4 linked regions of the Astyanax mexicanus genome follow. The protein of the gene in region 1 purifies or fractionates together with the protein of each later gene. This does not show direct contact. Links are inferred from orthologs where the notes say so. Each region holds a gene or a part of one and is shown in the gene's direction. Other genes may lie near its edges. The genes, in order: wdr20a, phlpp1, fbxw5 and phlpp2.

Evidence for each region.
Region 2: the proteins of wdr20a (region 1) and phlpp1 purify together in Homo sapiens (affinity purification with mass spectrometry; 4 studies listed by BioGRID and IntAct, with this or other methods). This does not show direct contact. The link is inferred for Astyanax mexicanus from reciprocal best matches to the Homo sapiens genes WDR20 and PHLPP1.
Region 3: the proteins of wdr20a (region 1) and fbxw5 purify together in Homo sapiens (co-immunoprecipitation; 3 studies listed by BioGRID and IntAct, counting the BioPlex papers as one, with this or other methods). This does not show direct contact. The link is inferred for Astyanax mexicanus from reciprocal best matches to the Homo sapiens genes WDR20 and FBXW5.
Region 4: the proteins of wdr20a (region 1) and phlpp2 purify together in Homo sapiens (affinity purification with mass spectrometry; 4 studies listed by BioGRID and IntAct, with this or other methods). This does not show direct contact. The link is inferred for Astyanax mexicanus from reciprocal best matches to the Homo sapiens genes WDR20 and PHLPP2.

The regions. Positions count from the first base shown.
Region 1 is NC_064421.1:44,984,684-44,991,746, forward strand, and holds the start of wdr20a (WD repeat-containing protein 20), read left to right. Parts: upstream 1-4,048; 5' UTR 4,049-4,058; coding exon 4,059-4,322; intron 4,323-7,063. Other genes in the region: uncharacterized protein LOC103042329, read right to left, coding at 868-939, 1,935-2,009, 2,966-3,033, 3,172-3,214. UniProt on the Homo sapiens protein: Regulator of deubiquitinating complexes. Activates deubiquitinating activity of complexes containing USP12. Anchors at the base of the ubiquitin-contacting loop of USP12 and remotely modulates the catalytic center of the enzyme.
Region 2 is NC_064415.1:8,447,750-8,454,873, forward strand, and holds the start of phlpp1 (PH domain leucine-rich repeat-containing protein phosphatase 1), read left to right. Parts: upstream 1-4,101; 5' UTR 4,102-4,390; coding exon 4,391-5,963; intron 5,964-7,124. UniProt on the Homo sapiens protein: Protein phosphatase involved in regulation of Akt and PKC signaling.
Region 3 is NC_064408.1:19,868,354-19,876,172, forward strand, and holds the start of fbxw5 (F-box/WD repeat-containing protein 5), read left to right. Parts: upstream 1-4,796; 5' UTR 4,797-4,900; intron 4,901-7,207; 5' UTR 7,208-7,216; coding exon 7,217-7,403; intron 7,404-7,651; coding exon 7,652-7,809; intron 7,810-7,819. UniProt on the Homo sapiens protein: Substrate recognition component of both SCF (SKP1-CUL1-F-box protein) and DCX (DDB1-CUL4-X-box) E3 ubiquitin-protein ligase complexes.
Region 4 is NC_064423.1:38,447,819-38,454,711, reverse strand, and holds the start of phlpp2 (PH domain leucine-rich repeat-containing protein phosphatase 2), read left to right. Parts: upstream 1-3,893; 5' UTR 3,894-4,039; coding exon 4,040-4,282; intron 4,283-4,529; exon of another isoform or gene 4,530-4,728; intron 4,729-6,893. UniProt on the Homo sapiens protein: Protein phosphatase involved in regulation of Akt and PKC signaling.

The DNA.
Region 1 (7,063 bases):
TAGCTCACTAGCAGGGGGTGGTGTTATGCACTGCACCACACCAACCACCCCCACCACATTGGTGGCAATAATAAAAAAATTATTATTATTTACATTAACACTTTCATAAACACAGTTCAATGTAAAACAATCACAACAAAAGACAAAAAATCTTATAAAGCAAGTAAAATCAACAGGTTAATCATGAGTCTTGGGACTTCATTGTCTGTGCTGCTCTCAGATTATCAGGAAGAGCAATATATAGACGAGGGGCAGCAGGACAAAAGGCCAGTCACCCATGGTGCTGAGCTTGAGAGGAGGGTAATTAAAAAATGACCAAAATATAATTAACAGTACCAGTCAAAAGTTTGGACACACCTTCTCATTCAATGTTTTTTTCTCTATGTCATATTTTTTACATTGTAGGTTCATCAAAACAACTAAGGGACACACGTGTAATTATGTAGTAAACAACAACAATGCCCTGATCCAAGCCTGATCAACTGAGATGGTGATTTAGGACGAGCTAGAGCTTCACAGTGTAAAGGAAAAGCCGCAACTATTGTTCAGCACCTCCAGGAACTCCTTCCTTCCTGAGAAAACTATTCCAGGTTACTCTCCCTCATGAAGACACTGAGATTAAAATACCAAGAGTGTGCAGATCTGTCCTCAAAGACAAACGTGCTACTTAGAGGAACCTTTGGTTTACAAAATAATTTAGCATGTTTAGCCTGTAGAGCTTTAATATAGCCTTCGATATTAAATTTACAATGTAAAAAATAAAAAAGGAAAGAAAACACATTGAAAAAGACGAGGTGTGTCCAAACTTTTGACTGGTACTCTAGACCTTGAACAAACTCATTCTGGTTCCAGAAATCCCCAACTCACCTGTTGATAGTGCCGTCCAAATGGCTTCTGTGGTAGAGTAGGCCTCTTAAGACCTGTTCCTCCCTGGAAAGACTAAAAACGATACATTCATTTTTACTTACAGCCTCTCTAAATTTGTTTACCAAACCATTATTTTATAATCTTTAGTCACAAATAAAACAGCAGAAATTAGCATGTGACTCAATTACGGTAGACTTCTTTTGAAATTTCTCACGTACTTCTCATGTTTCTCCTGCACTGAAAGCTGGGACCTTGATTTTTGAGTTACAGTTATCAGTTACATGTGCCTACATAGTAGATGTTTATTGTAAATTTAGCTTCTTTTAAAGGAGAAATCTGGTGTAAAATGGACTTGGGGTTTAAGTAAATAGCCCACCTTTATTCACCCCCAGCATTCTGAAATACATAGTTTTTAGCCAATGCTCCCAACAGGCTTACAGTACTAGTGACAGGGGCATGGAGTTCCCATACAAAGAAATCACTGTTTTAAGACCATAAACAAGTTCAAAGTAGCTGAAAATATCTTTATAACATTAATTTATTTCCACTGAACCAATTTTACAATTTATTACGCTATCCTACTTATTTATCAGTTGAGTTATCATAAATTTTAAGATGGCGACACCTGGAGAACTACCTGAAGGTACTGTGTGTAAAAACAGTGTTGTTTAATAAACTACCTGTGCACTTTCAAAGTTCATAGTACCTCGTTTTAGATTGCAGGAACCTCAGAATTCTACCAATGAAGTGTGGAGCTACTTTGAGCTTGTTAACGGTGTAAAAAATAGTGATTTATTTACCTGAGCAATGCTATGCTCCTATCACTAGCACTGTAAGCCTGTTGGGAGCAAAGCTCTAAAAGCTCTGTATTTGGGAATGCTGGGGACAAACGGAGCTTAGCTATTTGACAAAAAATTATATCTATATCTATAAGGTCATTTACACCAGATTTCTCCTTTAAGACACTTAGCCATTATCCTTTTTTTTATCAGAAACGTAATAAAATAAAAGAAAAGTGCATTTTTAATTGTTCCCTGTAATGGGGTGGTCACTACTGGGGTCAGTACCTTACTGCTGGCGTCGGACCATCGTGGGCTTGTGTCTGACTCAGAGTCTGAGGTTGAATCCACTTTACACATCTCCTAATACAACACACAACCAGTCAAAACACTCTAGATTTATGGAAATCTAGTATCTACGACTTAGTATCTCATAATTATGACTTAGCATCTCAAAATCATGATTTAGCATCTCATAATTATGACATAGTATCTCATAATAATCACTTAGTATCTCAAAATAATGACTTAGTATTTAATATTCATGATTTAATATCTCATTTAGCATCTCATCTCATTTAGTATCGCACAAGTATGACTTAGTTTCTAAAAACTATAACTTAGTAGCTCATAATGATCACTTAGTATCTTATAATGACTTATTATTTAATATTTATGATTTAGTATCTTAAAAAATTACATAACATCTCATAATTATGACTTAGTATCTCAATTATTACTTGGTGTTTAATAATTAAGATTTAGTATTTCATCATTATCACTAAGTATCTTAAAATAATTACTTAGCATGTCACAATTATGACTTAATTTCTAATAATTGTGACTTAGTATCTTATAATTATTACTTAGTATTTTAATGATTACTTAATATCTCATAATTATGACTTAGTATTTTATATTTATGATTTAGCATCTCATAATTATCACTTAGTAACTCACAATTATGACTTAGTATCTCATAATGATCACTTGGTTTCTCATAATCATTACTTAGTTTTTCATAATGATTATTTGGTATCTCATAATTATGACTTAGTATCTTATAATGATCACTTAGTTTCTCATAATGATTACTTAGTATCTCAAGTATGACTTAGTATTTCATATTTATGATTTAGTATTTCAATTATTACTTAGTATCTCAAAATAGTTACTTAACATGTCATGATTATGACTGTCGACTATTCTAATAGTATCTAATAATTATGGCTTACTATCTTAAAATAAGGACTTAATATCTCATAATTATGACTTATTTTCAGGTGGTAGAATTGGTTTCTATAAGAATGAAGTCCAACCATGTATTTGAATGCCAGTCTGTCCACAGTGACTGGGTCTCTCTGATCAGATCTTATGTCAGGAACACCTGTGAGTATAATCTGTATTAGTAAATGTATGAAGTCTTTAGAAGATCTCTACAACAACTTCTTTATATTTATCTTTTCTTTCTATAATAATTTAAATATTTTAAATACGTTTTCTGGCTCATGCTGAAGGCCTGTACCTGCTGCAGCATGTCCTCGGCGTCGTGGCTGTTTGCTCGGCATTGTGGTCCATGTGGGGCTGAGTGCAGCGGCTTCAGGTAAATTAAAGGTGGGTCTGAGGATCAGCGAGGTTAAACTAATGTCGCCTTCAGCGCCCTAGCTCATCCCCTGTTACTGCGCACCACGGGTACGACTAAATTAATATAAACACTCTGATAAAACACAAGAGAGTAACAGCAGTTTTACTGACACGCCCCCAGCACTGAAAGTTTATTTTCAAAAACAGGTAACTTAAAAATAATTATTTTTGTGAGGTTCTTATGCGCTTACAATATGTATATATATTGATTATAAATCATGAGGAAGATGGATTATCACAAGCCATCAAACCAAGCTGAACTGCTTGAATTTTTGCTCCAGGAGTGGCACAAAGTCATCCAAAAGCAGTGTGTAAGACTGGTGGAGGAGAACATGCCAAGATGCATTTTTTTTTTTGCATTATTTGAGGTTTGAAAGCTCTGCATCTTTTTTATTTTTTTTTGTATTTTGACCAGTTCCTTCTGCAAATAAATGCTCTAAATGACAATATTTTATATGGAATTTGGGAGAAATGTTGTCCATAGTTTACAGAATAAAATACCATTGTTTATTTTACTCAAACATATAATGTTACCTATAAATAGCAAAATCAGAGAAACTGATTTGTGCCACAGATAAATATTTATGTCACTTTCTTTACAATATTATTATTATGATGTTAGTATTTTTAGTATTTTATATTTTTTTAATGCTCTTTATAAGTGGCGTAAGGATTATAAAATTCCCTTAAAACCGACTGACCGCAGTAGCCTGTGTGTTCGGTACTGCGCATGTGCGGCGCGTAAGATCCGGGCTTGGGCCAGGATGAATGCAAATTTCAAAGATGGCGGCGGAGGGAGGAGGGAAGGAGATGAACGAGATCAAAACTCAGTTCACGACCAGAGAAGGCGCGTACAAACTCCTCACGCACTCCGAGTACAGCCGCCCCAACCGGGTGCCTTTCAATTCGCAGGGCTCCAACCCCGTCAAGGTCTCGTTTGTCAACGTAAACGACCAGTCCGGCAACGGCGACCGAATCTGCTTCAATGTGGGCCGGGAGCTGTATTTCTACATCTACAAAGGCGTCCGAAAGGTAAACAGCGCCGCAGCTCTCGCTCTTTTCTCCCTCACGCGCGCAGTTAAAGTGTCAGGTTGCAGTTCGCTGAAGGCGAAAGTTGATGGAAGTCCGGAGAAGTCTGGAGGTCGTTGTTTGGCTGCTTTCCCTCGGCGTTTTTACGTGGACTGCTTGCTAACGTTAGCTTGCCTTGGCTAATTTAGCTCTTGGAGCCAGCCGACCGACAAGCTGTCAGTTTGGGCCTAACGTCAGGTACACCTGTCATGGGCACCGCTGGACCAACACTCTCCGCTCCTTCTGTACCCTTACGAGTCTCCTCAAACCCCTGCCTGCTTTTAAAGCGAACTAGCCTTGCTAATTTAGGCGTAACTAATAATTACGCACTCGTCGTGTAGGGATTAACATTAGCAGCGCGATCATGTTGGCACAGAGCTATAGCAGGGTCGTCCACTGTGAGCTAGGCTAGCTAGCGTTAGTTTGGTTAGCTTGGCTTCAACTTGTTTCAGACGAATGAATCAGCTGCGATGGAGAGCTCAGAGCTCCAGATCGCCCATTTTTCTTCATAAACTCGTGAGAGCTGTGTGTCACGCTGGTGACTGCTTGTTTATCAGGCAGATAGTTAGTTAGTTAACTTGTGTATGAGTGTGTGTGTGCGTACTTAGAGACAGAGCAATAACGTTAGCTAGCTAACTATGTTTAAAAGTCCGGGATATGGTCCTTTTAATGTTGTTTTCCAGAGTAACCAGGTATGCCTAAGTGTGAAATGATAAGGCTCTGTGTTGTATAACTGTTGTTTTGATATTTTTGAAACAGGCTAATCTCGTTGGTCTCGTTGTTTCTGCATTTTTATGTGGATTATCTATAGTTTGAGTTTCAGGTGTTGTTGAGTGTGCTAGCTAGCGTTAGCTGCGTGAGCCAGCTACTCGTTACTGGTAGACGTTATCTAACTTAGCTAAGTAAGTAGTTCGTTTGAAAACAAACGGGGAGGACGGATAATGTTGCATCATATGTTTGCAATTTTTCAGGTTTCATCAGTAATTATCAGTTTAAATAAAAAATAAATAAAAAAAAAAGTTGCAAGTGTTTTTAACATGTTTTGGTTGGATACAGATACACTTATTTACAGTGGGGGGCCGGATACGGAAGTTGTTATACTATTAGTCCCTTTATAAAGATTTACAGTCAGATGTAATGCTATAGGAATTAGGGGTGGGCGATACGGCACTAAAATAATATCACGATATTTCATGGTATCATCACGATAACGATACTCTTGAATATATGACGAAATACTGAATTTAAAAAATGATTTCAAGAATACAGACTACTGCATCAAAATGAATATAAAATGTTCTTATTGCATATGATATGTAATGGCACACCCCTAACTGAGATATTGAAAAATACAAGAAGTTTATCAGATTTGTAACAGAAGTCAATGATCCAGAATGTCATGGCACTAATATTGCGCTCTACATATATCCAGTATTAAATAAAAAAAATGAATGATACTGGACAGATATAATCTGTCTCTAGTAGATATACAATGGGAAATGAGAACAGTGTTAATTTTTCTTTTGCTTCTGGTTAATACAGTGTTCTTGCTGAGAAGGACATTTCAAAAGGATTTAGACAGAGGAAAACAACAAGAGTTCCAGGCAGTGAACTAAAGTGTTTACTAGCTTATTTAGCTATTAATTGTGATGCAGAAACTGTTTGCAACATTATGCAATTACATGGCAAGCAGTGGTTTATATTTGTTTGTTATATCAACAGGGACCCCTAGTACCTGCTACATTTTGGGGTGTATTATCAGTCATTTGTGTATACCAGTCTTAGTTCAATTTGAGAATCACTGTTTCTGCATGATTGCCTTAGGAAGTTATAAATGAACATAAATTATGCTGTCCTGAGACAACGAAAGAAATGTATATTTTTTAGTAAGTAAATTAAATCAAATCTGAATAGCCATATCTACTTTTTACATTTACATGTTTTTTTTTTTATATATATGAAATGTAAAAAAAAGAAAAATATATATATATTTATGTTTCTATATGCAATATATAGAACTGTTAACCCCATTTATTCCCCAACTTGACATGTAAAGGAAAATGTCTGATGATAAAAAATAAAGGAGTGATCTATTAATCCAAAACATTTGTTTGTTGCCTCAGGGCAGCATCATGCCATAGAGGGTTAAGGACTGCGCTTGTGATTTGATTAGGCGTTTATAATCAGTTCATTTATACCAGAAGAATTCATGTGACACTGAAAGCTTTATATTTCACTCGGGGGCAGTGACTCATTTGTTTAAAAAAAATATATGCAAGAGTACGAAACTTGATTTGCATTTTCTAAAGGTTTGTGTGTGTGTGTGTGTGTGTGTGTGTGATTGTGTGTGTTTGGCAGGTTCTAAAAACATTTGGCTGTAAGTTAAAGGGGGAAGAGATGGCTGTGTGTATATATGTGTGTATGTGTATGATAGGACTGTAGGGATAACATTTGAAGATACATTATAACAGAAAACAATATCATAATTAAAATGTTTCATCATACATATAATATTAATACAATAGGACTGTCACGATAAGTAAGCTATTAATTCGACATGCAGTAAGGTCTGTCACAACTACATTATCGACTTATCGTTCAATAAATGGACATGACCTCAATCATTTGAATAATTGTGATATTGTCCTTTTATATTGGGACTGGGTGTGGCTGCTCCTTGTATTAGGAAAAATGCATTCTATCAA
Region 2 (7,124 bases), on another chromosome or scaffold:
TAATTTTCTGAGACACTGATTTTTGGGTTTTCATTGGCTGTAATCCATAACCATCAACAATAAAACAAATAAATGCTTAAAATAGATCACTGTGTTTAATACATCTATATAATATATGAGTTTCATATTTTAAATTGAATTACTGAAATAAAGTAACTTTTTTAATGATATTCTTGGACTAGACTTAATCCCTTTTGGAAACTGTTTTGGAAACTGACCCTACTATATATTGTATACCTTCTACAACAGGTTAATCTTGTATTTCAAAAGCCATTAAAGTATTTAAATAGATAATACATTGTAATATTAAGGATATATAGAACTATAGTAGTTGGTAAGGATTCAGGTCAAAAGACAGACTCAACAGAAAGTATTGAACTTCATATAATTCTATAACAGTATTTTATTTTTCTCCATGTTTTTTTTTTTATGTATGCACAGACGGCACAGATCCAGATTTAGACTTTACCACATTCATTTATCACATTAAAACACCCTTTTTAAAACAAACCTTTTAAAATTGAAACATCTACAAACTATTGGTCCTGTCCTCGGTTTGGACAGGCTGGGCCAGATGTGTGAATTATTCAGCAATAAAGAAGTGTTTCTCTTTTTCATACACACGTCTGGAGGAGGAGTGAGTGAGTGTGTTCTGTGTGTGATAAGTATGTGTGTGTGACGAGTGTGTGAGTGTGTGTGCGCACCCTTTTATTTTTTGGCTGGGAGATGATTCAGCTTCCAGTGTTCAAATGATTGCTTTATCTTCATTAAACGCCATGACCAAAACCTCAGCCTGAGTAGCCTTATTTACTCCACTGCTTCCCTCACAAGGTAACACCTCACAACTTATACAGATGTAGGCATTCCCAAGCCAACCATTCCCTGAGGTAACACGTAATGCTCAATTTACACATTGCTATTACAGTACCGTGCTGGAGTATGATAATCTACTAGTGCATTAAAAAAATAGAATATCATTGAAAAGTTACTTAATTTCAATCATTTAGTTCAAAATGTGAAACTCATATATTATATAGATGTATTAAACACATAGTGACCTATTTTAAGTTTTTATTTATTTTATTGCTGATGTTTATGGCTTACAGCCAATGAAAATCCAAAAATCAGTGACTCAGCAATTAAGAATATTATATAAGACCAATTAATACTTTTTGCAGTGTGGGCAGTGTGCCAAGTCCTGCTGGAAAATGAAATCCGCATCTCCATAAAAGTTGTCAGTAGCAAAGGGAAGCATGAAGTGCTGTAAGATTTTGTGGGAAAACAAAACTGCACTGACTTTAGACTTGATAATAAAACACAGTGGATCAACACCAGCAGATGACATGGCTTTCCAAACATACACAAATAAGAGACCACTTAATGATGATGTTTTTTTTTTTTTATTTTACCAAATTGAAAACCTCTGGAATATAATCAAGAGGAAGATGGATGATCACAAGCCATCAAACTATTAAATGAACTGCTTGAATTTTTGCACCAGGAGTAAAGGCATAAAGTTATCAAAAAGCAGTGTGTAAGACTGGTGGAGGAGAACATGATGCCAAGATGCATGAAAACTGTGATTAAAAACCAGGGTTATTCCACCAAATATTGGATCTTGTTATTTTAGCCATTTCTAAAATAGAGCCAAATAAATGCTCTAAATGATAAATGCTCTTCACAATTGGATTTTCAAGAAAAAATATAAAATTAATCTTTTCTTTATTTTCTGAGCTTTTAATTTTGCCTTTTGCAAGAATTAAAGACATGTATTTGTTACAAGATGAAAATCGAGAGAAGATTTTTTTCTTGAAACTTTGTTTTCCAAAGGCTGAAATAAAAAAAAAACTATATAATTGAAAAATTGGATGAAAACCCATTTCTTTTTTACTCTACAGAATGGAAAATATATATATTATATATTTTTTGCTTATAGTTTTATACCAATTTTTCTATTTTCGAATTTAGCTTGACACAGTCAGAAAATAAACTGCTAAACGTTACACTGACCCATCATGCCTAGAACTTACCTTACAAACTCTTCACCTGTACAAACCCTTGATTTCAGTAGAAACAGTAGTGTTCTCTGTTGAGCTCTAGATGGCGCTCTTTACCTCTTAGTGAGGTCTAAACTTTACTCTACAAGATGGCGAATCTATTTTTAGCCGCTACACTCCAAATATCCTCCTTTACAGATATTTAAACAGATAAAACACACTGTATAATACTAATAAAACAACTTTATATTATTTTTAAATTAAATAAACTAAAATATACAAAAATTCAACCCTCGTAACCATAATTTTTACATGATTATCGATTTAAAAAATATAGACGAAAACTATTTTATGCTGTATTTATCACTCACACTGCTTTATATCGCTATAAAAAGCGTTAAATCGTTTTAAAAAAAACGATTTAAACCCCAAAAACTATCAACACCAGACAGCTACGCACATCCCGCCTAATGAAATGGACGGTCTCGCGCTGTCGCTGTCCCTGCGCAGTGCATCATGGGAAATGTAGTTTAAATAAGCGCACGCTTCCTAAGAAGTGTTAGCGCGCTTGCTCTAAAGAAAACTACATTTCCCATCAGCAAAATGAAAAGTGTGCAGCTCGCGCCGTTACGGAGTTCCCTCATGAATATGCAAAGCTACGTGTTTGCGTCAGAGCGTCGGATGTTTGCGTGGACGCGTCTAATCCGCGTCTCCGTGCACTAGTGAGGATCCATATATAGTGTGTAACTAGTGTTTAGTGCTCTAGCAGCGGCTTAAACACAAACATACACAGTTTTATGGCAATTAATCGAGTTTTTGGGGCTTTTATCATCGTTTTATGTAATTGAATGTTTGAATTAGCTAGATACTGTTTAAAAAGAAAAGGTTAAATATTTTTATTTAAGTATTTTAATAAACTATTTAATATTATTGATAAACATTAAGGATACATTTTTCTTTTTTTCCCTTGACTTTTTTTTTTTTTACATACAAGCCAGTTGTGCATATTAATTGTGTTAATCATTTTTAAACACAAATTATATATTATAAAAATAATAATGCAGAGCAAATCAAATACGTATTTAAATATTTAGAGACATGTATAGCCTACATATGTTATATACACAATATATGCATAACATATACATACATTACTTTTTGTTTATCACATTATGACAATGTCTAATATCCTTTAAAAGGTTTTTAAAAAGATGTAGAGCTAGAAAATATTTGAATGTAGTCAATTATTTGTCAGTCATACTAATATACTTAATATACTCATACTAATATAATTATTTTGATGACATAATAACAATAAAGCACATCTTAGGCTTTATTTTTGAGTTTCTTAATGTTTTTTATGTTTCTGAAATCATAACAATATTCTTATTTAACAATATTATTTATTTTTATATATCTTTATATTGTCTTCCAATACATAAAACACCCAATATTTACAGGTAGTAATCTACCCAAATTACTATTACCCAATTTTTTTATGTTTTTTTTTTATTTACAAAAGTAAACAATACATCTTACAAATAAGTCTTATTTTGATATGTATTTATTTGAGAATACTAATGTACATTTCTGAAATAATTTATTTATATACTTTGTAACAATATTATGTCTCTTTTTTGTCTTTCAATACATAAAAAACATTGTAAATGTATTGTAAAGCATTTACTTAATAGAATCGTTATTCTAATAATAGTAGGCTATGTTTAATTTATTTCACTATTACTACTATATTCACTACTTTAATAATAAATCTTATAAAATAAGTCTTATTTTATTTGCATTTATTTTAGCCTAAATTACTAATGCACATGACTATAATCATATATTTATATTATTGTTTATTACAATATTATTTATTATTTTTATGTTTTTTGTGATATGAATAGAAAAAAATAGCTTTATTAGATAATAAATGTTTTTAAATAATCTATCAGGTTAAAACAGTTAAAGTTTGGTTTAAGTGTCTTAAAAAAAACATAGTAGCGCCCTAAGTAGTGTGTTTCCGGTTAGCGTAGTGCGCTAGGCGCGAGTGTGCGCGGATTGGGACGCGCCCCGCTCTCTCCCTGGATGGAGAGTGTACTCTGTGGAGCGGCTCCGCCCCTCCGGTTGATCGCGCCGCTGCCCCGTTAAGTCTCCATGATTTGACAACAGCAGAAGTAGCCGAGGCCGTTTACCGCGGCGGGGAGGGAGCCGGGACGCGGCGGGACCTGGATGTGCAGCGACCTGCCTGGCGCCGCTCAGACGGCGGACTGCTCCTCCGGACAGCAGCGGTGCGCGTCCTGTAGCTGAGCGGGAGGCGGCGCGTCTACTTGTGGCGTTGTTGTGGCCGCTGCTGCCGCCGCCGCCGCTGTTTTTCTGCACGGCTGGCGGAGATGGAAAGTGCGCGGGCAGCATTCAGGCCGGCGGAGAGCGGCTCTAACACGGGAGGTTCGTGGAAACCCAGCAGTACTGAGATCAGCAAGCTGAAGAAGCCTGGAGGCCCGTCTGGAGCTTCTGGGGTGGACGACGGTGGGGGTGGTGGCGGTGTCAGTGGTGGTGGTGGCGGCGGCATTGCAAGTGCCAGCGCCAGTAACAGTGGAAGTACCAGTATCAGTACCAGTGCCAGTGGTGTGGAACCCAAACCCGAGATCTCCCGCATGGATGCCCTGAAGGGTGGCCAGCGCTCTCCATTATCAGAGCCCAACAGAACCACCATAAAAGCTGCCAAGAATGGCCGAGTGACTCCAAGTACTGGTACAAGTACCAGTACTAGTACCAGTACCGGCTCCAGTTCAAGTTCCCTTCTGCTCAAAAGGCGGCGACTCAAGAGAAATCTGTCCGCCGCTTCTGCTTCTGCCAAGCTGAGCTCAGCTGCTGTGCCCTCATCATCCTCCTCCTCGTCTTCCTCCTCATCTTCATCCTCCTCCTCCTTGCACACGCGCAGCCTGGACAGGAAGGCCCTGCTGAGGCACCGGCAGGCCGCAGTGGTCCAGCTCCAGGCCTCTGACCGGCAGTGGGTCCGAGCTGACCTCCACAGAGGTGCCATACACGTTCACGACAGGTCGTGGGACCGCTCAAGCCCTCGGCCTGTTCTGTGCACTTTGGAGACCACGGCGGGCGAGATCGCCCAGCGCCTTGGTCAAACCACCGGTGGCAAGGTAGGGTGTGTGGTTCGCGTTATAGGAAGTGGGCGGCCTCTCGCGGAAGGCCCTGACTTGGCCCCGGCTCGGTTTGAGCACCTGAGGCCGGAAAGTGACAGACAAAATGATAGACAAAATGACAGACTCAGACTTTTCTTGTTCGAGAAGGATGAAGGAAGTGGACGTTCTGACGACTTCAGCCTTTACTCTCCTGAGGTGTCCATCTCAGCCAGCCCCTTGACGCCGAACGGGAACAGCGAGGGGTCGGTGCAGAGCTTGGGGTCACGGCTGACCGAGCATAGAGACTCTTTAAGCGACGATATGATCCTGGGCACCGATGCGTCTGTACTCAGCCCACCGTTTGAGGGCCCGGATGCTTATGGAAGCTCCTCAGACGAGCTGGAGCTTGATGGCCCTGTACCTGGTGATGGCCCAGGTGGCCACCAGGTGACCCAAGAGTCGTCTGTTATAACAGACGGAACAGACATGAACGGGAACAGGCTGGAGCCTCTGAGCCCGGCACCTGTCACACCTGGCTCTAATCCGGGCTCTCCGGGTCACTCCCAGCACCTTTGTTTGCAGCCCGAGGCTCCGGAGAACCAGGAGGCCCAGGAGAACCAGGAGACCCAGGAGGCTGAGGGTCACGACACCTCGCCGGCGCTCTACGTGCAGCTTCATGGCGAGGCAGCCCGGCGTCTGGCACGAGATGAGAGGCCTCTGCAGATCCAGAACGACTTCCTCTTCAAACTGGGATTTAAGGACCCATGGAGGGTGCAGGAAGAGGGCATGAATACAGAGCTGGGATCACTGCTTCGCTTCTATGCAGGTAAAGAAAGCTGGAGGTCACTTTTGCTTTTAAATGTGAAAAGAAGTGCTTTTCTTGGGGGTCCCTGAGGATGAGGACGAATTAGGAGTAACCTGCTACTATACCTGAGCCTAGATAACAAGTGGGCCACTCAGAAATGTTTTTATACATGCAGGTCTTTGAAAAAGCAGGTAGTGGTGAAGCAAGGTGACTGTACTGGACTTTTGGTGCAGCCTTGAAGATGTTCCTTCACTCATCCAGGCCAGGCAGCTGGACATGACTTGACAGGAATTTACCTTGCTGTATCTGTAGTTTAACCTCAGTTTAACCTCAGTTCATCTTAATCAGGGGAAGCACCTTGGATCTGTGATGAAACAACGTCTTCCTGTTGCACCAGAAGTTCAGTGGGCATCTCAGTGAGAGTCTGTGTATGTAGGGCATTGGTGGTTGTTGTTAATGTGCTGATTGTGCTAGGGTCGCTTCAGGACCTCTATTCTGGCAGCCTGTACTGTAAACCACCTGCACTGCACATCCGATTCACCTCCACAACGACTTAAAGGGGAATTTCATCCATTATTCAGACTTTCTCCCTAATTAAAGCTTTACGATGTAAACAAACTCATCCTGAGCGCTTTAGTGTCAAACTCTCTGTTCTGGAGAAACTGGGAGATTTAGAATTGTGTAGAGTCAGACGAATCAGACGAATAAGAAACTGTGAAAATTATGTCTGATGCTTAAAATATTGTTTTAAAGTAGAATGTTATCATATTTTAACCTATATATGTGATTTATTATATTTTTTTAGTTAACTGTTTTTGTTTGGATGATATATTGTAATATACAACACTATTGTACTTTTACAAACTAATAATTTATTCCTCTAATTCAATAACATAGTAGCATAATAAGGGGAGTCCTTATTAATTGAGAATATTGAAACATTGGAATCACAATATGAGCAATATGAATTAATATCCTACACAAACAAAGCTTAAATCAAATGTAAGGAAACATACCAATCTTCTTTTTATATTAAGTATATTATGATGAATACAATATTAGAACAAGATGATAAATATGTATGATGGTATTAAGTATTGATCAGTGTTAATTCCACTGACTTTTTTATTTATGTATTTATGTATTTATTTATTTATTTATTTATTTATTTTCATTTGTATC
Region 3 (7,819 bases), on another chromosome or scaffold:
ATGTTTAAACATCTGGAACTGTGCACAATTGTGGTTTTGCCAACAGCACAATCACCAGGACAAGGACGGGACTACGGGACTTGAGAGAGGGTTCAAAACTTAATGAATGCCTTGGAAATTGTAAATTCACCAAATATATTATACCAATTTAGGGGTTTGTGCTTTCTGCAACCACTTAGAAATAAGATTCATGAAGTTAAAATGAATGCTCTTAGCTTGGAAATTACATTCCCAACACCAACTTCACCAACTTCCCCCACGGTCGTAAATTCCGACGACAGCCGCTTATCTAAACACTCAGCAGAGAAGAGGAATTTCTCACTGAGAAGATTTTGCTTAAAATACATATATATTGACTATATAAAAAAGGTGTTTTATAGAATGTTTACTAGATAATGGTATATGTGTTTGGATGTGTCCTGATTAAATTCTCCTACACATTCAAGTCTGAATCAACAAGGTTTAACTAGCATTTGATAATTTAGCTTTATTTGGTTATCAGTGGTTTAACCATGTATTATCTTTTAAGTGATTTAATTGGGTTTAAATAATAACATGACTCTTGATCTCTTTCTGACAGAGTACCATCCATCATTGTATTCCTAAGATTATCTTGAGTATTACAAAACTGTTTGTGGGCAAAATATATATATATTACATTTATTGTGATTCAATTGTAAGATTGTTTGTTTCCTGAATTTATCCTCACAAACTGATATGCTGAAAAAGGTATTTTGATCCACTGTTTAATTGAGTTTTCTTTTGGTTTGATCTATTAGAAAAATGCTGAAGCATGTTGACCATGTGAGGAGGGGGGGTTTATGGCCCTTTGTGAATCCCCACCAAAGTTTGAAATTGCTCCTAGACCAATCAAAACACAGACATTTGGGCCACAGGGCCAATCATAGCTCAGGGGCCAAACAGGCCACAGAGACTAATAGTAAACTGGGCAGACACAGTTTTAGTTCAGTTGCCAGTTGAGTTTTGGGAGTTCAGGTCAGAGCAGTTGGAGGAGAAGCAGTTAGAGAAGGAGTTGGAGAAGATGAGTTGAGGAAAACAGTTAGAGGAGAGAGGTTAGGGAGCCAGAGATGGAGAAAGGATAGACCGTTAGTTTAGTCATCTTAAGTTAGTTTTCTTAGACTAGTGCATTTAATCTTCAAGTATATTAATATTAGCTATCCTAGTTAAAATATCTAAGGTTATTTTACAATCTACGAAGCCAAGCATTATTCCATCTAAGTTTAGCTAAAGTACAGCTGAAAAGGAGATCCGCCAGATCCAACCCAGAAACCTGCGGTCCGGAGGCCACCAGCAAGCCACCTGAGAGCGAAGGGATTTACCCTGTGGGTTCTACTGGGGCTCCGTGCTGACACAGGAAGTCCACCCACCCTGCAGACAGGCTCACGTGATCCTTTTTCGGGGTGAAGCAGCAGACGACCAACCCAGGCGGACGTCACCAAGGCTCACTTCAACAACTCAGAGTAAGGCAGAGCTGGGTTTAATCTTTCGGCAGATGGTGTCTGTTGGTCATGGTTTGGTCGGGTCTTTAATAGAGCGTCTTTAGTATAGATGACTCATTTTGAGTGGCTTGGTTGGAAATAAGAATTGGTTTCGTAGACTTAAAATGCCTTAGACCCTTATTTAGAAATACTCACTTAATAGTTATATTAATCTTTATTCCTTTCATATCAGCATTATAACGTGTTTGTTCTTTTATTTCTCATTTATCATTCTACACTATGATTTGATAGCTAATGGCTACATTTATGACTTTTTAATGAATTATTTACTCATATCTGTGTGATTTAATAAATACTTTTATTTTACAAAACCTGTCATTTCAGTGTGTTTTTCTGGATAACTTGGTTATGAAAATTTCTGTCACCTGTAGAAACCACACCCTGAGATGTCTTGTGTTATTAATTAATTTGATTAATTAATTAATTAATTAATTAATTAATTGATCTAATTAAATTAATTTAATAACTGGCGCCCAATTAAAAAATATTTCAACATCTCAATTAGCACCAGGTATTAAACCACTGAGCCGCTACAACAGGCAGTGTACTGGCTGGTGGTGATTGCTGGCTTGGCGGGGGGTTTTCCCATGCTGACAACACTTGCTGCTCTGAGGAGTCAAAAAACACATATGCGTGTCATTTTCCCGTAGTCACTGAATCAGTAATGGGTAACTTGGAAATATGAGTTCATGTGATTGTAAGGTTTTTGGCATACGTACGGTTACTGTGTCATCCTGTGTTTGTGACTGGACTTCCTGTGGGTCTGCAGCAGCCAGCCAGCTTTTCCCACAGGTAGCAAAGTCCTGATAGCAGAACGCATACATAACCATGTGATTCATTTTACATATTAGTTGACTTGACAAGCTTACAATGGAGTAACAACTCCTTAATAATATAATATAATAATATATCTGCCCCCTAATGTGTGGGCACAACATAATATATTGAGGACACAAATGCACTTCGTAGTTGCCATAAAATAATACACTGATATCGAACTAACTAAACTAATAATAATACCAAAAATAAAAAGACCATAAAAGTTATGCAGTTTACATTGAATGAAGCCACTAACCAATTTGGTTTATTTTTAATTTAAAAGCATTTTTTTTCATCTGAAAGTTTATTCATTTTTTTTTATTTTACTGAATAATTAATTTCTTTTTTTTATATAATGTTTTATAATGTTAATATTTATTGAACTTTTAATAGGAGAAGAATATAAACAGGGTATAGAATTAAACCGTTTCTCCCAAATAGCACATATAAATCTTAAATGCCCCCCTTCCTTACAACTCAACCCAAACAAAGAGACAACGAAAATGCTATAAGAAATATATATATATATATATATCTCCCATTACCTAGTTAGCTATAGCTATATTTCATACGGAAACTCCACTCTATTGTGGCCACACCCTATTATAACACATTGGGAACCTAAGGTAACTTGCTAATTATAAAACTGAACCATTTATTTATTTTTTATTTGAAAGTTTTTTATAATTTTTATATTTATTTCTGTTTTTTTAATGAGGCAGTGAGTGTACTACCTTTGGGCACAGCCTATTTTAACATATTAGGAGTTTTAAGTAAGAATATTATTGATTCATTGATTTATTTATTTTTTTAAATATATATTTATTGAACTGTTTAACAGGAGAAGGGTATTAACAGGGACTAGAATTAAACATGCCCCTCTAACTTACAACCCTACCCGAACATACAGATAACGAAAAATCTAAAACATATATTGAAAAATAAATAAATAAATGACAATGAAAGGTGATGCAGTTTACTTAGAACAAAGCCACAAAACAATTTGATTTATTTATTATTTAAAAGTGTTTTTTTTTGTGTGGCCACTTCCTATTATATTACATTGGGAACTTAAAGTAACTTTAGTTATACTACTGAACCATTGATTCATTTTTTATATAAAAGTGTGTTTTTCTTAATCATCTTTATGTTTATTTTTATTTTTTATTGTCAATGACTGTATTGCCTTTTGGCCACACCCTATTTGAACACATTGGGTACCTTAAGTAACTTGTTAGTTATTTTACTGAATCATTTCATTATTTTTATATAAGTGCTTTTTAATCATCTGATTATTTATTCCTGTTTTTCCCCCAGTGTAAATTTATTTAGGTACTTTCTTTAGATAGATAGATACTTTAACCTGCTAACTAGGTTTTAACAGTGGAGTAGTTTCCACTTGTGGTGATCTTTTAAATGTTTAAAATGTACAAATATTTAGGAAAAATAGTAAAGCTTTTTTTTTATTATTATATCACATTACCTAGATATCACATTACCTAATTAGATATAGTTATATTTCGTACAGAGAGTCCACTACTGTCTTGTGGCCACATCCTATTATAACACATTAGGAACCATAAGTAACATTTTAGTTAAATTACTGAATCATTAAATTATATAATTTATTTTAAATGGTTTTCTTTTTGTCAGTGAGAGTATTGCCTTGTGGCCACACCCTATTAGCTATAATACACTGAGAACCTTACGTTTTATTTCTATTTCTATCTTATTTTTTTATTATTTTAAAGTAATTTTTAATCATCTAAATGTTTATTTCTGTTTTTTCTCCCATTGTAAAATTCTTTAGGCACTTTATTTTACCTGTGGAGAAGCACTTGTGGTAAACAAATTAAAAATTTACAAATATTTAGAAAAATAGAGAAGCTTAATAGCTGTCATTTTAAATCATATCACATTACCTAGTTAGATATAGCTATATGTCATTCAGAAACTCCACTGTATTGCCTTGTGGCCAAATCCTAGTATAACACATTAGAAAGTAACTTGTTAGTTATATTACTTAAACATTAAATTATATTTTATTTAAAAGTGTTTTTGTTTTTTTTAATCATTTGAATGTTTATTCCTGTTTTTCTTCCAGAGTAAAATTCTTTAGGCGTTTTTTTTTTTTTTACCTGTAATTAGCTATATGTCATATATTATGTCATACAGAAACATCACTTAAATTAAAGTTACTAAAGAATGAGAGGTTAGGAATGAATGGTAAACTGAATATTGTCTGAACTTACCGCTCATTATTAATCAGCACAGCATGGTTTTCCTCTTTATAAGAGTGGGTTCGCTTTCCCAGATGATCTGGATTATTCCCGTGGAGAAGGAGAAGGAGTAATGGAATATAGCGGAACTGCGCAGTGTCAGATAACAGATATCTATCGTAGTGATCGGGTATTGATTAGTCTTTGCCTGATTACTCACCTTTCTATCAGTTTTCTGGCGCTCGGCTGGTGAGGTCTGGGAGCGGAGCTAGGCGGTTAGCCGGTGTTCTCGGATATTGGCTACACTTTCTCGTTTTGCTCCATAACTCTGGGGTTTGACAGGTAAGACTCGGTGGAGCGGAGTACTGACTGTCTGTGTGAAGAGTATAAATCCTGAACTGTGTCTGTAGCGCGTTTTAATCTCTGTTTATGAGCTGCCCAACATAATCAGGTTAGCTTTAGCGGTTACCCCTTTAGCCAGCTAGAGCTAGCCTAGCTCTGTTTTTAGCGAGTTCCACTGAAAGCTGATTCTCTCCACACACAAAACGCTGAAAATTAGCAGGTTAAAAGAGTTAACGCGGTTTAACTAGCTAATACTTATGTTCTAACACTTGTCCTACATTTTAATATACTTTAATACAAGTTATATCTGGCTTTCAGCCTGTAGGTAAGGACGTTAACCTTGGTAACTAGCGATAATCTCCATATGGAGTTTATAGCTAAGATGATCTAGGGTTAGTTAAGTTTGTTTAACGTTGTACGTTTCTCATCACTCAGTTGGTTAGTAAGTTAGCTAGTAAATCTGCTTACAAAAGTGGTTAATCTACTTGTTACACCAAGACATTGTCATTGATGAGTCTGTTTAAAATAGCACTACCAGAGCCCGTTAAAGTCTATGAGTTTCTTTAGTTGCCACAGGATTCATTAGATTTTATAGTAATTGTCCAGTGAGTAATTGCATAAAATAGATGTATCACAGTAAACTACTTTTACTAGCTTAAATAGAAATGTAGTAAACCCAAAGATAGATATTATATAGGTATAATTACCTAAAAATATTATTTTTTATAGTTGTCTAGAGTCTTAAAATATTCCCCTTAAATTGTCAGTTGTTATTTGATTTAACTATTCCCATACTCAACCTGCAAGAACAGTTTAAAATAATAAAGTGTCACTGTGCGGTTAAAGTGTCAGTGTAATTTTAAATATGTAATTGTCATTGTAGAGTGTCAGTGCAGTGTGTTGGCTAGGTGGAGTTTAAGAGTCTTACAGCTTCTGGAATTAAGCTGTTTCTCAGTCTTGTAGTTTTGCACTTGATGCTCTGCAGCCTGCGGATTTAGAAAACCGATTAAATTGAGGTTAGAACTAATCTAATACTTAAATTAATACCTAGATCTAATACTCAGTTGCTGATAAATTAAAAAGTTTACTTGGTGGTATATAGCTCCTTAGTGTTTTTCATACATCACCACTGATACACTTATCACAGTTTGAGAACCACTGCACTAGAGGAATTGGTTGTTAAATTATGGTAACAGATTTTTTTTTTACTGAGGCAACATGCTGTAAAGGTATCTCTCTGTCTTTCTATCCACCTGTCTATGTGATATCTTATTATGCTAAGGGAACATATTCTTAATTAGAAAGGACCTTTTAATACATCATATAAACCTTTCTTAAAACTTAGATTAGCGTTCTTAAAACTTCGATTAGTAGCTCTGTAAAACAAAAACTAGTAGGTTAACTACTTCTGTAAGCAGCTGCATGTATGCACTGAGCTATGGCTTGCCTCTGCTTTATTTAGAAAGGGAGAAAATGATCTGGAAGTTTCTATGTTTGCAAGTGGTCATGTTGCACCTAGAAAATGATCTTGATGGGTCTGTTTAGAATAGTACTACCAGTCCCTGTTAAACTTCCTTAGTTTTTTCTTAGTTGCCACAGGATACATTTGATTTTATAGTGATTGTCCAGTAAGCAGTTGCATAAAATTAAATTTACTATAACAGAATTGATTTATTGAATGAACAGATTGGAAACGTGGGCTGGTGCCAGTGTTTTTTATGTATTGGGAGGACTTTGGGACACATTAATTGTTTCCTAATCATTGCTGTAGAAAAAAAAAACTTTAGATCAAATGTCTCTACTGTTTAATTAAGTCTTAGTACTAGATTTTGGAGTATTGCTTAAAGGATTTGATTGCATTAAGCAGCAGGAACATTAGTAAGGTCCGAATGTTGGATGATCGTTACAAACACGCAACCCCATCCCACCACATCCTTATCTCCTGAACTCTTCCTAAAATTATTGGGGCACCATCATTCGAGAGAGCAAAAATCTACAGTTCAATACTGGGGGGCTTTATATCCTTCTAGCCCACACCTGGCTATAGACATAGTGTCTATAGATTTATGCTTATTTGCGCCAAAGAGTGATTCTGTTGACAGTTCTTTTCTACAGGGCTAGACAAACTGTGTGTGTATATTTCTATATCTCTATCTCTTTTCTAAAATATCCAAAACGTTTCTTAGTCTTCTCAGGTAGTAGAGGTGCTGTTTTGATTTCTAGTCTATAGAGCTGATTGTACAGGACCAAGAATGTAAGTAATACTGCCAAAACTAATGGAGGATGATGTTTGTGCTTCTCCCTCAGGATGTCAGGATGGAGAATGGTCCTGGCCTGCCAGACAGCCTGGTGCTGGAGATCTTCTTGCATCTTCCCCATGCTGCGGTGCTGAGGGCTGGCCTGGCATGCCGGCAGTGGTTTGCTGTATCTCGGGATGAGTTCTTGTGGAGGGAGCTTTTCTACAGCTACTACCGCATCCCACGCACTGTGCCCCGCCACCCAGGTACTGCAGATAGAAATATTGCACTGCCTTTGCATTTATTTTAACATTCTAGATAATATTACTATTTTAAAATTGTTATGAATTATTATACACATTCATGCTTGATCTGCAGTGAATATATCCTAATTTTTTTAACAAAAAAAAGAGGTAGTCAACGAAAGTTGGAACATGGGGCTTAGGCCTGTTATCAAAGAGAACAAAAAATGTAGTTAAGGACCATAATTTTTTCTATGTTTTTTTTTCTGCAGCGGCTGTGTCATGGTACAGGGAATTTAAAAGGCTGTATGACTGCATCCCATGCGTAGAGGTACAGACACTGAGGGAACATCATGACCAGGTCCTACACCTGGCCTTTTCTCACCGTGGACACCGTTTCTCGTCATGTTCCAAAGACTGCACTGTCAAGGTAAGATTCT
Region 4 (6,893 bases), on another chromosome or scaffold:
CTATACTGGAAAGGTTATATCAGTACGTGATGAACTGCTGAGTCTGTGATAAGACAGATATGATAAAGTATAGAGCCATTGTGTGTTTCAGTAAAATACTGAGTCATTATGCACTGATGTCATGTTTAAAGGTTTGTGCTTTTCCATCTTAGTGACAGCATCCACTCTCACGTGCCTCACAGGGAGGATGTAGAAATAGCTTGGAGGAATGGAGTAATGCTGCAGTCTGTGTCACAGGTGAAATCACAGTATTTCTTACTGTTTTTCATGGAGTTTAGTAAAACACTCAGTATTCTGTAAGTGCCCTATATCATTAAAATAGCTTAACTAAATAAAATACGAAGAAAAATAATATTTTGTATTACAATTCTGACTAAATCCCTCTGCTAGTAGGTTTGAAATTGAGTTTCTTGTGTACTCAGTATAAAAAACTGGGCTTAAAAACCCTATATGGATAAAGGTTGTGGGATGCCTATTAATTTATTGATTTTTTCTGAAATCAAGGGTATTAAAAACAAGTCTGTCATCTTGTTGTGTCCCGGGGATGTCTTTCTTCTAGATTTTTGAAGCACTGCTGTGAGGATTTGGTTGCATTTAGCAATTCATCGCATTCAAGCATTGGATGGAGCTCCATCATTCCATAAAACCTTTTATCTAGCCCACACGTTCCATTAGATTAAGCAAGGCACCAATAGGTTCATTGTATTTATCTATTTTAGGGACTAGATAAGCTGTGTGTACAGTGGTTAAAAAAAAGTTTGGGCAACCCTGATAACTTTTATTATTTTTCTTTATAAATCATTGGTTGTTCAGATCAGTAATTTCAGTTGAATATATCATAAAGCAAACGAACACAGTGATATTTGAGAAGTAAAATGAAGTTTATAGGATTTACAGGAAGTGTGCAATAATTCTTTGAAAACAAAATTAAGCAGGTACATAAATGCAGGCACCCTTATGGTCAAAAATACCTTCAACCAGAAGCCAGCCCTCATTGGAAGCTATAAGAAGAGTTTAGAGGCTGTTATTTATGCAAAAGGAGGATCTACTAAATATTGATTTGATGTATTTTCTGTTGGGGTCCCCACATTTATGCACCTGCCTATTTTAGTTTAAAGGATTATTACACACTTTCTGTAAACCCTATAAACTTAATTTCGCTTCTCAAATATCACTGTGTTCATCTGCTATATGATATATTTAACTGAAATTTCTAATCTGAACAACCAATGATTTATAAAGGAAAATCATTATCAAAATGATCAGGGGTGCCCAAACTTTTTCAGACCACTGTCTATGTGTGCATTAGGACGTCTATGTGTCAGCAGTAGGTGCATTCACAAACATATATTTGAACATGTAGCATATTTAGGGTTACTTTAAATATATAATTCTTAATAAAGATAAATAATGACATTACCTTAAATAAAAAAGTGTATGTTTGTTGTTCTCCATATAGACTTAAAATGGATTTAAAATACACACATTTTCCTCAAGTAAACTCTGTCCACTGGCCACAATACCTGTCAAAAGTTAGGACACATCTTCATCAGCTGAACTAGTCAAGAGTTAATTACTTGAATTTCTTGTCTCATAATAAAGTGTTTGAGAGCATCAGTTAAAGTAAAGTAGTGCAGAGGTAGAGTTACAGGTATACAGTGAATAGGGAATATTTGAGTAATGTTCTAATCCAGATTATGAGAAGCAAGAACTACTCAACTAAGTAAAGAAAAAAAAGACAGCAAAAAAACATTAATAACGTTAGGATGAAACTGGCACTCATCAGGACCGCCCCAGGAAAGGAAGCGCAAAAGATTCCTTTGTTGCACAGGATAAGTTCTTTAGAGTTACCACCTATGGAAACCGCAACTTAACAGCTCCCCAGATAAGAGCACCTAAATGCTTCTTCACAGGGTATTTTAGTTTGTTTAACACTTTTAATTTACTACATGATTCCTTCATAGCCTGGATTGGACAGTTTTTACTACCCAATCGTAAAGTCTCTACTCTGAATCTGTGTTGTTGTGTGTTGGCTTACCTTGTGGGTCTTTGTTTAAGGTCTGTTTTTTCTATATATAGATAAGCACCCATTACATAGTGCATATGGCCTGTCACCTCTACTTAGTTGGGCTGGTACAAAAAAGGTTAAATATTAAACATTAGAGGCATTTTATTTATCTTTAACACGTGGTTTGACAAGTGTGTGTGAGACATATGAAGTGACCATGTTCAGGACTGTTTAAATTTGAACTTTAAAACCATATATAAACTTTGTTAAGCCTATATTATCAAGGTGAACTTGCTCTTTGATAAGAATGAGACACGCCCATGAAATACAAAACTAAGCATATTGACTTTGTGATGATCTTTGTGATGCATGACATCAAACTGAATGTATATTTTATGATAAAATCTTTTACAGCTATATACATAAGTGTGACGTCTTATAAAACTAGCCTCTATTACTTTTTGTTATATGTAAATTATTATACATTACATGTCCAGTTGTCCTGTAGAGTAGAAGTACTAATAGATTAGGACTGATAACCACCCTGTTTTAGTATTGAAAGTGGTACTTAGAAGAATCTAATGTATAAAACATATTCTCATTTGTTTAACCCCCTTTTTATGTTGTTGTTCACAAAATAATTCCATGTGCCATATCGTATCATACGCAAAAATAGTGCAAATTTTTGAACATATAAAAAAATACCTCCATATTGTGATATTGTAATATTCTTTGAAGCTGTCTATTTTGTATTTGTTTTCTTATTTACTGTATTTATTTTTAATTGTTTGTTTGCAGTTTATCCACAGGCACTAAATATACTTTTGTTTACTGGTACCAACAGCAGCAGATTACATGACTCTCCAAACCATCACTAACCATCAGCAAATTTTACATTTCATTTGGAAATAAAGTAGTAGTGTGAAGTTTCCACAATCAGTGATGGTTTGGAGAGACATGTCATCTGCTGGTGTTGATCCACTGTGTTTTATTATTAGGTCTAAAATCAGTGCAGTTTTGTTTTCACGCAAAATCTTACAGCACTTCATGTTTCCCTCTGCTGACAACTTTTATGGAGATGAGGATTTCATTTTCCAGCAGGACTTGGTACACTGCCCACATTGCCAAAAGTAGAATTTGTCTTAAATAATATTCTAATTTTTTTGAGATACTAATTTTGGGGTTTTTAATGCCTGTAAGACAAAATAATCCACAATAAACTAAATATGCGCTTAAAATAGATCACTCTGTGTGTAATACATTTATTATAATATAAGAGTTTCACATTTTGAACTGAATTACTGAAATAAGGCAAATTTTCTAATTTTGAGATGTAGATTGTTTTGTTGTTCTGTAATTACATTAAGCTATTTTTCCTACAATTTATTTTTTTGTTTACTATTATTTTATATAAAATTAAAGTCTCGGTAAGTTACTTTTTATGAAATAGACAAATGTTTATAGATTGTACATAGAAACGTTTAGATTTATGCTGAATAAAATGAAAACAAACATATTTTTGCAGTAGTATTTTCTTGAAATTAATAAAAATGTATAATATGTACAAAAAAATAATTAATAGCAAAAATACTATTTTATAAAAAAAATATTATTTGGGGGCAATATCGCCAACCTGTAGTTCCTGTATAGCTTTTAATTCCTGGCCAAAAAATATTGTATTCAAAAAGAAAAAAAACATGAATCATAAAAAGAGATAAAAACACAAGATTTTTTATATATTTCCTATCATTTGTCACGAAGCACCTGTTTTGGGCGTTCCTGTTCTCATGAATAATTCATTAAATCCGAAGCCCAGGAATGGGCAGTGCCTCATGAATAATAATTAGCCCCGCCCTCTACTGTTTATTGAGCGCGGATCTGACAGCCGTGCGATTCGGTCCCATTATGGCGTCTCACCGAATCAGGATGGGCTTTTTCCGCCGCCGCCTGTGCTGGAATTTACCGCTGGTCAGCTGCGACGCGACATCTGGACGTTTGGGTTGAAAACGGGACGTAAATGTAGGCGAGAGGATGAAGGACGAGGAGAACGCGGCGAGGCCGGTGCGGAATGCCGAGGCGGACGCGAAAAACGGGGCTGCTGTGGAGGACGGCGACCGGAGCGGCGCGGCGGTGGCCGTGGCGGTGACTGGATCTGCGGCGGGGGCTGGCGCTGAGGCTGCGTGGACCAAGCCGAAGCCGGGGCTTGTCGAGGGGGCGGGAGAGCGCGGCGCTGTGGCAGCCCGGGGTGGCACCACGGGGATACGGGTTTTAAAGGTAACACATCTGTGGCGTCAGTTATTTATCTCGTTAACTAGTTAGTTATGCGGTTAGTTAGCTAGCTAGCTGGGTTACCGTTACCGAGAGCTGTGAGCGAGCGGCTGCGGAGGGATGATGTTCCCGTTAACGAGGGCCGAAAGGCAACAGCCTACGTGTGTGAATAGCATCGTGAACAGCATCGAGAACGCCTCGCTCGGAACGCCATTGACCCCCTCCCTCCCTTCTCCCACCCGTCCGTCCGTTCAGCGAGAGATGATGATGATGATGATAGCTAGCTGTCTGTACCCTGACAGGAGCCGGGCTCTCCGGTTAACCGGGTTTACACCCAGCGCCCCGATCCTTCCCGCCCTTTTGCTAACTAGCTACAGCGCGCGACCAGCTAACTCACACCAACTGTCACTTTTATAACCTGTTAGCATCGTGGCTAAATCTGCACCTCTGAGGTAAATCTTTAGTTGAATCTGTGAAAGCACTATGTAGATAAAGATAAATAATCAATAATAACGAAATAATGAAAGCTGACTGCTAGATTTTAAGCTATATCGATACCTTTTTAAAGTAAGTTAAGTTAATTGTAATGTTTTTAAAAAACAGCAATGGTTTAATACAGTTAAGCATACACTTAGAAAAAAATACTATTAGCAAGTAAAATGATCTAATTTCCATGCAATAAATCTTAGTTTCTCTATGATAAAGATTTAAGCACCTGCTGAACATTTAAAGGGCATTTAAATCCCACAATCCGCTGTTTCTAGTTTGCTAGCTAGCTAAAGCGCTGGACCTGCTAACTTACACCAACTTTCACTTTTATAACCTGTTAGCATCTTGGCTAAATCTGCGCCTCTGAGGTAAACCTTTGTTAAACTGTGACAGCAGGATGTAGATAAAGATAAATAATCAATAATAACGAAATAAAGAAAGCTGACCGCTAGATTTTAAGCTATATTGACACATTTTTAAAGTAATTGCAATGATTTTTTTTTTAAAACAGCTATGGTTTAATACAGTTGAGCATACACTTAGAAAAAAAATAGTATTAGCAAGTAAAATTATCTAATTTCCATGCAATAAGTCTTATTTTCTCTATGATAAAGATTTGAGCAACTGCCGAACATTCAAAGGGCATTTAAATCCCACAATCCGCTGTTTCTAGTTTGCTAGCTAGCTAAAGCGCTGGACCTGCTAACTTACACCAACTGTCACTTTTATAACCTGTTAGCATTGTGGCTAAATCTGTATGTCTGAGGTAAATCTTTAGTTGAAACTGTGAAAGCACTATGTAGATAAAGATAAATGATCGATAATAACGAAATAATGAAAGCTGACTGTTAGATTTTAAGCATTATCAAAACTTTTCTAAAATGATCATAATGTTTTTCAATTTTTCAGGAAAAACAGATAACATATCATAGTTGTTATGGCTATGTATAAAAAACACCAGTGGTTTAATACAGTTGAGCAGTAACATTACATTTCGAAAAAAAAATAATATTAGAAAGTGAAATGATCTAAATCTATTTTTTCTATTAAAAAGATGTAGGTATAAGAGTATCAACTTGGCCTATGTCTCTAAAAGTGCCCAAATACAACAGATTCCATATTGACTCACTAATATCAGTCAGTTCCACATTTAAGCATCTTATGATCATTTAAAGGGCATTTAAATCCCATGTTTGACTGTTTGTAGTTTGTTAGCTGGCTAGCTATCTAAAGTGCATGACCAGTTAGCTTACACCAACTGTTGATTTTAGAACCTGTTAGCCTTGTGGCTAAATATGTATGTCTGAGGTTAATCTGATAAACTGTGACAGTACCAAATAAATAAAGATAAATGATTGATGATAACGAAATACAAAAAGCTGATCGCTAGATTTTAGGCTATATTGACACCTTCATAAAATAAATGTAATGTTTTTCAGATTTTCAGGTAACAAAAAAACATAGTTAACAGTTGTTATGACTATATATTAACATTTTAAGATGTTTAGTTTAGCATACAGCTGTACACAGCAAAAAAAAAAAAAAAACTTAGCAAGTAAAATTATCTAATTTCAAGGCAATATATTTTTTTTACTCTTGAGCAATTTCTGAGCATTTAACAGACATTCAGTTCACCACCAAATTCATCTGATGTAGGATTCTAGTTGAGATAGTCAGGGCCCTGTGGAAATATCCAGTTTTAAGGACGGTTTTTGCTGGTAGCAGGGTTCGGATGGTCTAAGCTGATCTTTAATAGTCAAACTGATTGAAAATCTTATTCTTCAGACAAAAACATGCACTATAGAGGTAAATTAACTTGTTAACCAGCTCTTGACCATCATAATGTGTGTTGAATTTTATTTTAGGCGTACTGATGATAATGTTTGTAGACCAGATAAACAATCAAACACTAAAGGATATATACCCTATAGTGGTCAAAATCAAGGCTGGTCAAAAAACAGCATCAGCATGACCGACTTGAGCTGTATATTCAGCAGGGGGGGCAACTCAGTATGCTTGAGGTCACACACACCACTCCTTCCACTTTCCCGTCAGAAGTCATTCTGTTCAAAGATGATAATGTTTGTAGACCAGATAAACCATTAAACACTAAAGGATATATACCCTA